Linked DNA regions of Danio rerio. The protein of the gene in region 1 interacts with the protein of each later gene in a biochemical or structural test. Links are inferred from orthologs where the notes say so. Each region holds a gene or a part of one and is shown on either strand. Other genes may lie near its edges. The genes, in order: pax3a and sox10.

Region 1 (3,933 bases):
GTTCAGTTTGATTGATCAGGGGTCTCTGTGAATGAACGGGGCCTGTTTGACTGACGTGAGTTTCTCAATGAGAAAGAAAAGAAGCTTCAGAGACTGCAGGGAACAGAGGAGGAGCACGTGAGACGGAAAGAGAGAGAGTGAGAGAGAGAGAGAGAGAGAGAGAGAGAGAGAGAGAGAGAGAGAGAGAGAGAGAGAGAGAAATGTAGAGTAATGCAAGCGAATGAGTGGGATGGATGACTATATTGAATGTCTCTGCGTTATAAATAACGTTCTTCGCAATTGTGTTGGTCTCCACAGACAGCTTTTACGGCACTCTCGGCGTCATACCCTGCTGAGACCCCCGCAAGCTGCTCCTTTCATTCTGTAGAGACTCTACTGTCCACATGCATACAATAAATACCTCTGTGTTGTGCAGCTTTTGGGTTTTTACTTGAAATTCGGGGTTTGCATGGGATTCATGTTCGATGCAATAGATAGGCCCGTGGTTGTGGCAGAAGAAAGCAAAACGGTGGAACTTTCCAAACTTTGCGTCCAGCACTTTTTCAATGTTTCGGTTATATGGCACTCCTATCTCAGGTCATGGTGTCTCTTTTTTTATGAGTTGAAATATGTGCATATGATAAGCAAGACAGCCACATTTGCAACTTTTGGAGGGGCTTCCAGGAACAACGTTAAGATCCATTGTTTTATTAAGATCCATTGTACCAAACTACCATTGTTCTATTAAAATAAATATTTTAGAAGGTATTGAAGAAAACATCTGTATTATCTCAACACATCTTCCAATTTGCCCTGCGGCATCACAGTTTATGTCTGAAAGTGTTATCAGTGAAACATCCCCTTGAACTCCCGAGGTCACAACATAAGAAACTTTCAGGATTTAGACCAATCAGCAGGCTTTCCCAGGTCTTTGGATCCTCCCTCTTTGACCAATCACAGTCCTCGCTGGGCAGAAGGAGCCAACAACTCAACAACTGATAAAATGTTTCGCCACTGATCACCGTTTCAATCCACAACAACAAGTGTGTCAACAACAACGGAACCAAGCTTTGAGAGTGTTATCTTCCAAACCGCTTTGAGATAAACCACGATTGAAAACCTGGATATCCGTGAATAACTTCAGAGGACTGGAAGCGACGGTTTGACTTCTGAAGTTGACTTTTTGTTTTCGCCTGAAGACCTCAATACTTAGGCAGTCCACTGACACTTGACGACTAGCGCTTTCTCTTTGGATAACTTTTTCTATCAAGTGCTTCGTGCATCCTTTTTTCGTGCAGAGGAGATATGACCGCATTAGCGGGGGGCATTTCCAGGATGATGCGCCCCACGCCACCCCAAAACTACCCGAGAGGTGGCTATTCCTTGGAGGGTAAGGTGTTAGCTTGCTATAGCACAGCCTACTAGATACATCCGCAAAGTTGTTTTTTAAAGACCTATTTAATCTTATGGATATTTTATTGAAATGACATTACTGAAAATGACATTAATAAAATATTTAATTGTTTATAATTTATTTAGCATTTGTATATAATTAGTAAGTATATTTTAGTCAGTAGGCTAACACTGAAAAACTACATTTAGCTAATTATTTTGAAGCGTCAAAATTACTGAATTAGTTTTTTTTATTACATTGAAAGAAAATCAAGCTGAATCCAGAGAAAACTGCATAATGCAGTCGAAGTGAACTAGTTTTAGTTTAGATTTAGGAAGTCAATATTAGACGTACATTTTGTACAAAGCATTTATTATAAAATATCTTATTTTTAAAAACATTGTCAGTATTGACGTACTTAAGAAATATATTTTAAAATTAAAATATGTAGTAAGAAGTAATGACTTAGATTGCTATTATCATTATTAACCATTGACATTTTACAAGCAGACCAGCTTTTTATTATGGTTAAGTAATATTTCTGAAATACATAACTAATTGTTAATATCAATAGAAGTCGCTTTATTACTGTATAATATTTATATCAGGTCAGTCAAAGGCTGTCAAGTTTTTTTTACGATTATGCTTTCACGTTTAGCTTGCATACAATGTCATTCGCTGACTTTTCCTCTTTTGCTGCAGTCTCTACGCCTTTAGGTCAGGGCCGCGTGAACCAGCTCGGCGGAGTCTTCATAAACGGGCGCCCTTTGCCCAATCACATCCGCCACAAGATAGTAGAGATGGCCCATCACGGCATACGACCGTGCGTCATCTCCCGGCAGCTGCGAGTCTCACACGGATGCGTGTCCAAAATTTTATGCAGGTACCAGGAGACCGGTTCCATTCGGCCCGGGGCTATTGGTGGCAGCAAACCCAAGGTAGGACATCACAATTTAAAGGTCATTTGATGTATTGGTAGTACTGTTTTTTATTACTGACTTCATTATAATGTTTTGGCAGTCTCGTGTACACTTTAAAACATTGTGTTGTTTTAACTGAAATTGGGTAAAATATGGAGTAACCCAAATATTGGGTTAAATTCGGTACTATTAATTATATATAAAAAAAACATGCAATTTGGTTAGTCCCTATTACACCTTTTACAAAATGAAGAGTTTAGTTTTTAGTTCACGGCTAAGTTTCTTTGCTGTCTTTGATTTTGTTCCCATTGTTTAATAAACGTATCTAATGGTTCACACATTAAAAATAATAGTTTTACTGATATACTGTATATGTAAATTAATTATGTGAATTGCTTTTATTAGATTTAAATTCTAATATTAATTTGATTGTTGTATTATTTAAAGCACGCCTAATAACAGAATTTTAATAAAAGTTCCTCCTTGGCTTTCATTTTTGAAGCTAAAATTTTAGGAGCAATACATTTTTTATTTTATTTTACTGAACCTCATGACAACAAACAGAGAAATAAACATCATATTCTGATATAGTAAACAACAGTTTTTATTTAATAAAAACCTTTGTATCATAAGTGAATTGACCATTTTATATAGTGCTGTTAGATATTTTCTAGTTGTTACAAAGATCAGGATCTCAAAATTAAATAAACCATTGTGTTACCATTGCAATAAAAGCAGAGCACAACTCCTGACGTGGAAAAGAAAATCGAAGAATACAAGAGAGAAAATCCAGGGATGTTCAGCTGGGAGATTCGGGATAAACTTCTGAAAGATGGAATCTGCGATCGGAATAACGTTCCTTCAGGTACTCGACTTTATCTGTCAATCTGTGCCGCCGTTTGATTTATGTTTATATAAATATTACTACCCACACCTGTTGTATATGTGGCTAATATAAGGTCACGAGCAATAGTATTTAATATACATTGTATCAATGCATGTATATTTGTAGGTGTTAAAACATTCCACAAGTGCAATTCTGTCAATTGATGAATCCTGTCGTGTCTCTCCGCAGTGAGTTCCATCAGCCGCATGCTGCGCTGTAAATTTGGAGGAAACGGAGATGAAGATGAGGATGACGATGAAGTGGAGAAAAGAGAGATCGAAGAAAACGAAAGAAGAGCCAAGCACAGCATCGACGGAATTCTTGGGGACAGATGTAAGTTTTCAGAAGTTTACACTTTTTTTGTTTGCGAAGTTGAAATAAGCTGATTTTTTTACTGGTATATCTACATGAGTTCTTGATGGATAGAAAACATATAGGTATAGCCTATCTCACTTCTTCCAAACGTGCGTATTATTGTTGCGTTTGTTGTTGTTGTTATTTCTATATCATTTATATGCTAATAGTTGTTATTAATAGACAATATTATGTTTATGTAATATAATGTACTTATAAAAACTAACTTACATCAACGTCGCAAGCACATTTAAGCTTTCTTTTTAGAGAGTGAATATCGATTTTGGATGTGATAAGTTTGTCACCAAAAGCTCAGTAGATTGATGGGAAAAATAGGGTTCACGTCTTCTCCGTATTTTAAGCGTTTTTGTGCCTTTTTCTTAAACTCATTGAAACTGAAT
Region 2 (3,933 bases), on another chromosome or scaffold:
GCTGACAGGTCCGCTGGCGCTCTGCGGGGTGGAAGCGCTCGAAACCCCGCACAACCCCTGATTCACCCTGAGGCACAGCCAGGCCAACAACGGGCCAGTGTGATCGGAAAAGAGTTGAAAGAATCTCCGTGACACCAATGAGGAGCCAAAGACCACCTGTGAAATACATCACATGTCAGACAAAAGCATATTAAGCTGATCAAATATTGCGTGCATAACCGCATTACATCACAAAGAAAAACATTAGCTAGCTATGGGTAACTTAATAAGTGTTCTACATTTGCACTGCAGCCATGGTTGTGAGCCGAAAAGGTTTGCGCAATAATATTCACCCCCCGAGATTTACATTTTTTTTTTGCGGTTCTCTGATGTCGATTAATGGCCACGTGGCCTTCAGGTAAACACATTTAATATTTAACTTATGTGTTTTAATTAGTGTGTTCCGAATTATTCGGTTATTTTTATTTAACATTTTTATTAATTAGCTTAATTCTGATCCACTCCCAACTCTTATTAACGAATCACAAATCAAATGGATAGTTTTAATTGCACAATTAGCCTGTCAAAACTTAACTTAAAGCTGTTAATGCACTGCTTTTAAGTTTGAAAAATAAAGAAAAATTATTAGAAAACTTAAGATTAGATTTTAACATATGTTGAAATTATCAAATCGGCATGTTTATGATAAAACAACTTTACCTAAAACTAAAATTCAGATCAACAAAAACCTAAATGAAGTTACATATATATATATATGTGTGTGTGTGTGTGTATATATATATATATATATATATATATATATATATATATATATATATATATATATATATATATATATATAAATGTAAGGCAAAGGAGGATTATTTAAATAGAATGTCATACACAATGGAAAATCAAAGTGTTTTACATAAACAACAATAAAAGAAACATAAATAACAAGCGTAAAAGCAAATTCAAACTGAATAATAAAAAAATAATAAAGTTGAAGACACAAATGTATATTTAAAAAAGTTTAAGATCTGAATTAAAAGTAAGATGCCCCTGTGAGAGGCCAAATATTACTGTCGTTGATTTGCAGCCGAAATCACCGCCCTCTGGGGCAAAACTCAGCAGCCAATCAGAGCGGGACCCGACAGGGCTCTGTTGCTCCTTTAAGAGATTTTTTTCCATGAATTGATTTTTTTCTCGCTCTTCACACAACGGGGCTCTTTAAGCCTCGACGCGCGACACAGAGCAGGCATTCAGAGCGCGAGCGAGGGGGCTGAACCGACGGACTCTCGTGCTGGGCGGGCGACCTGCTGCACTGTAAAGTAAGTGCATTACTGGCTTTCTCTCTATCGCTTACTCTGTGTGGGAATATATACGCCATTGCACTGTCTAACGGAGAAACTTTTACATTTCTTATTAGTAATAATACTACTAATAATAAGCGGTGCATTTATAAACGACATCTACTTATTTTGGATTTTTCGGTTTATGTATTGATGGGTTTGGTCGTGGATAATTGTAATGGAGAAGGTTTTTAATTGAAATGGATTAAAGGACGTCTTTAAAAGTGCAACTTATCTAATCTTTTGGCGAAAGGAACACTTAAAGTTGGTGTCACGGGGCATAAATTTCGAGATTTGCGTGAATGTGTAAATCAGAGACGTGTTGGGTTAATCTGTCTTAATTGGAAAGAACGGCTTAATCTATCTGTGCACGGACCACTTGGGATGTACATACACTTTTAGATCTTTTAGTAAATGTTTACAGTCCGATAAATTATACATTTGAACACTTTAATTCGAAGTGAATCAGTTTTTAAATAGTTTTATAAGAAATAATTTTTTTAAATTTAATCTTCTGAGAAGTTTTACTTGCGTAAGGCTATTTGTATATATCGCCGTCTCTTGCCAAATTGCTCATGTAACCAACGCAAAGATTAACAAAGAGACCAAACTTTAAAGTACACAATTTATAATATTGTTTATCTACACATCCTTTCACAACAAATATAACAGGATCAGAAAACTTAAGTAAAGTAAAACTAACTGAAATGCACATTTGTGTAAGTTTGAATCAAATGTTTGATACAATAATAATCTCCGCAGATTAGTTTGAAAGGTTTCATTCGAATGAGTTTGTGTCATTTATGAGTTTTGTGTTTTGGCATGAGTGAATTAGGGGCAAATTATTGCCAAACCAGGCGTTATGATCCGCCCTACAGCAGCCAAAGATGAACCCAATCAAATCTGAACAAATAAAGTTTACAGCGGAGGAAACTCAAATAAGCAAGAGTTGCGAGCAAAGTTAAAATGAATGAGCATAAAGTTTATAAAAGTCCTCCTGACAGAAAACAGCCGCTGAAATCTTTTCCTTAAAACAAAATAAACCCAGCAGCGCAATTACCGAAATTGACGGATACATTTGTTAGCTACTAAAACAAACCAAGTCTTGTGCGATGCTTTCTTTTTCGTCCCAAATAAATTGGACAAGTCAAACCATTAACGCTTTCTGTAGGCTATACATGTGATTAACAAATGATCAATGTGTTAATGTGTTTTGTAAGGGGTCTACAAGTAGCCATTCTTGGCTAACTCTAGCACATTTTACAGTAATGTTTATTAATGTGCATTGACCCTGTAAACAAATAAACTAAACATGGTTCTGCTCATGTGAAGTCACCTGTATCTTAATTAACACTGCTGTTGGATGCTGTGTTTTTGTATTCGGGTTAATATTGGATGTCTGTAACTCAAGTTCAAGCTGACAGGTCGCATCTCAACAGCTTCTGTCGCATATAAATTATTTGATCGATTTTTCTGTAATTGGACCTAGTCAACCACATCCACTCGTTTAATTCACGATTACTTCACATTTCAGAAACACACTGCCATGACTCTCTTGATTTTTTTCTTCTTCTGCTGGTTATAAGTCGTCGTTTGTGCTTTCACCAACAAACACTGTGTAATTCAGCTGCCCACGGCAGCGCCGCTCCGTGTTTATCCAGCAGCGAGGCGGAATGAAGCCGGTATTATTCCAGCACTTTCTCTCCCGGGAGCTTGAACAAACCGCCAAACCTTCAACAGTAGCTTGTTAGCAGAAGTGAAGCTAAAATAACACACACACATATACACACACCGAGGCCCACTGACGCCACCGTATGATTGCAGCGCTGCCCTGGAAAAAGGCGACTTCTAAATAAAGTCAAAGCCTCAGTGTTTGTAGGTTTTTCCTGAACAGGTTTATCTTGTTCATGAGGTGTTCGGGTGAACAGCAAAGGGGTTGTGCGGTCATACAGCCAACCATTAAAACGACATATTAATGCTATTTTATACATTAGGAAGACATGCTTTGCAGAAGCAAGCTGTTTAATAAAATAATAACAATGATTATTATAACTAATAAATTACCTGTGTGTGTATTTTTGTAGGTTTCCATCAGATCTATATCCAGAGGAAGACGGCGGAAGGATTCCTTCTTACAAACTCGAATTATATAAAAAGAACTGTTAAGGTTTCACTGGATGATCTTAAATAATAAACAAAAGCACAATTATTTTACAAGAAAAAAACATTTGTAAAGTATAAATTAATACATTTATATTTAAAATAAAATTTAAGTGAGGAAATTAAACCTACCGAAGTCACCTGTGGCCGCAGAACTAGTGGACCGATGTCGGCGGAGGAGCACAGCATGTCGGAGGTGGAAATGAGTCCCGGGGTGTCGGACGATGGGCACTCCATGTCCCCTGGTCACTCGTCGGGCGCTCCCGGTGGCGCGGACTCCCCTCTGCCCGGTCAGCAGTCTCAGATGTCCGGGATCGGGGATGATGGAGCCGGTGTCTCCGGCGGGGTCTCAGTGAAGTCCGACGAGGAAGATGACCGGTTCCCCATCGGCATCCGCGAGGCGGTCAGTCAGGTGCTGAACGGGTACGACTGGACGCTCGTG

What was found.
Region 2: the proteins of pax3a (region 1) and sox10 form a complex in vitro, tested with the Homo sapiens proteins (2 studies listed by BioGRID and IntAct). The link is inferred for Danio rerio from reciprocal best matches to the Homo sapiens genes PAX3 and SOX10.

Annotation. Positions count from the first base shown.
Region 1 is NC_133177.1:50,677,728-50,681,660, reverse strand, and holds the start of pax3a (paired box protein Pax-3a), read left to right. Parts: upstream 1-1,008; 5' UTR 1,009-1,284; coding exon 1,285-1,369; intron 1,370-2,074; coding exon 2,075-2,310; intron 2,311-3,027; coding exon 3,028-3,157; intron 3,158-3,367; coding exon 3,368-3,511; intron 3,512-3,933. UniProt on the Homo sapiens protein: Transcription factor that may regulate cell proliferation, migration and apoptosis. Involved in neural development and myogenesis. Transcriptional activator of MITF, acting synergistically with SOX10.
Region 2 is NC_133178.1:1,253,296-1,257,228, forward strand, and holds the start of sox10 (transcription factor SOX-10), read left to right. Parts: upstream 1-1,178; 5' UTR 1,179-1,310; intron 1,311-3,415; 5' UTR 3,416-3,657; coding exon 3,658-3,933. UniProt on the Homo sapiens protein: Transcription factor that plays a central role in developing and mature glia.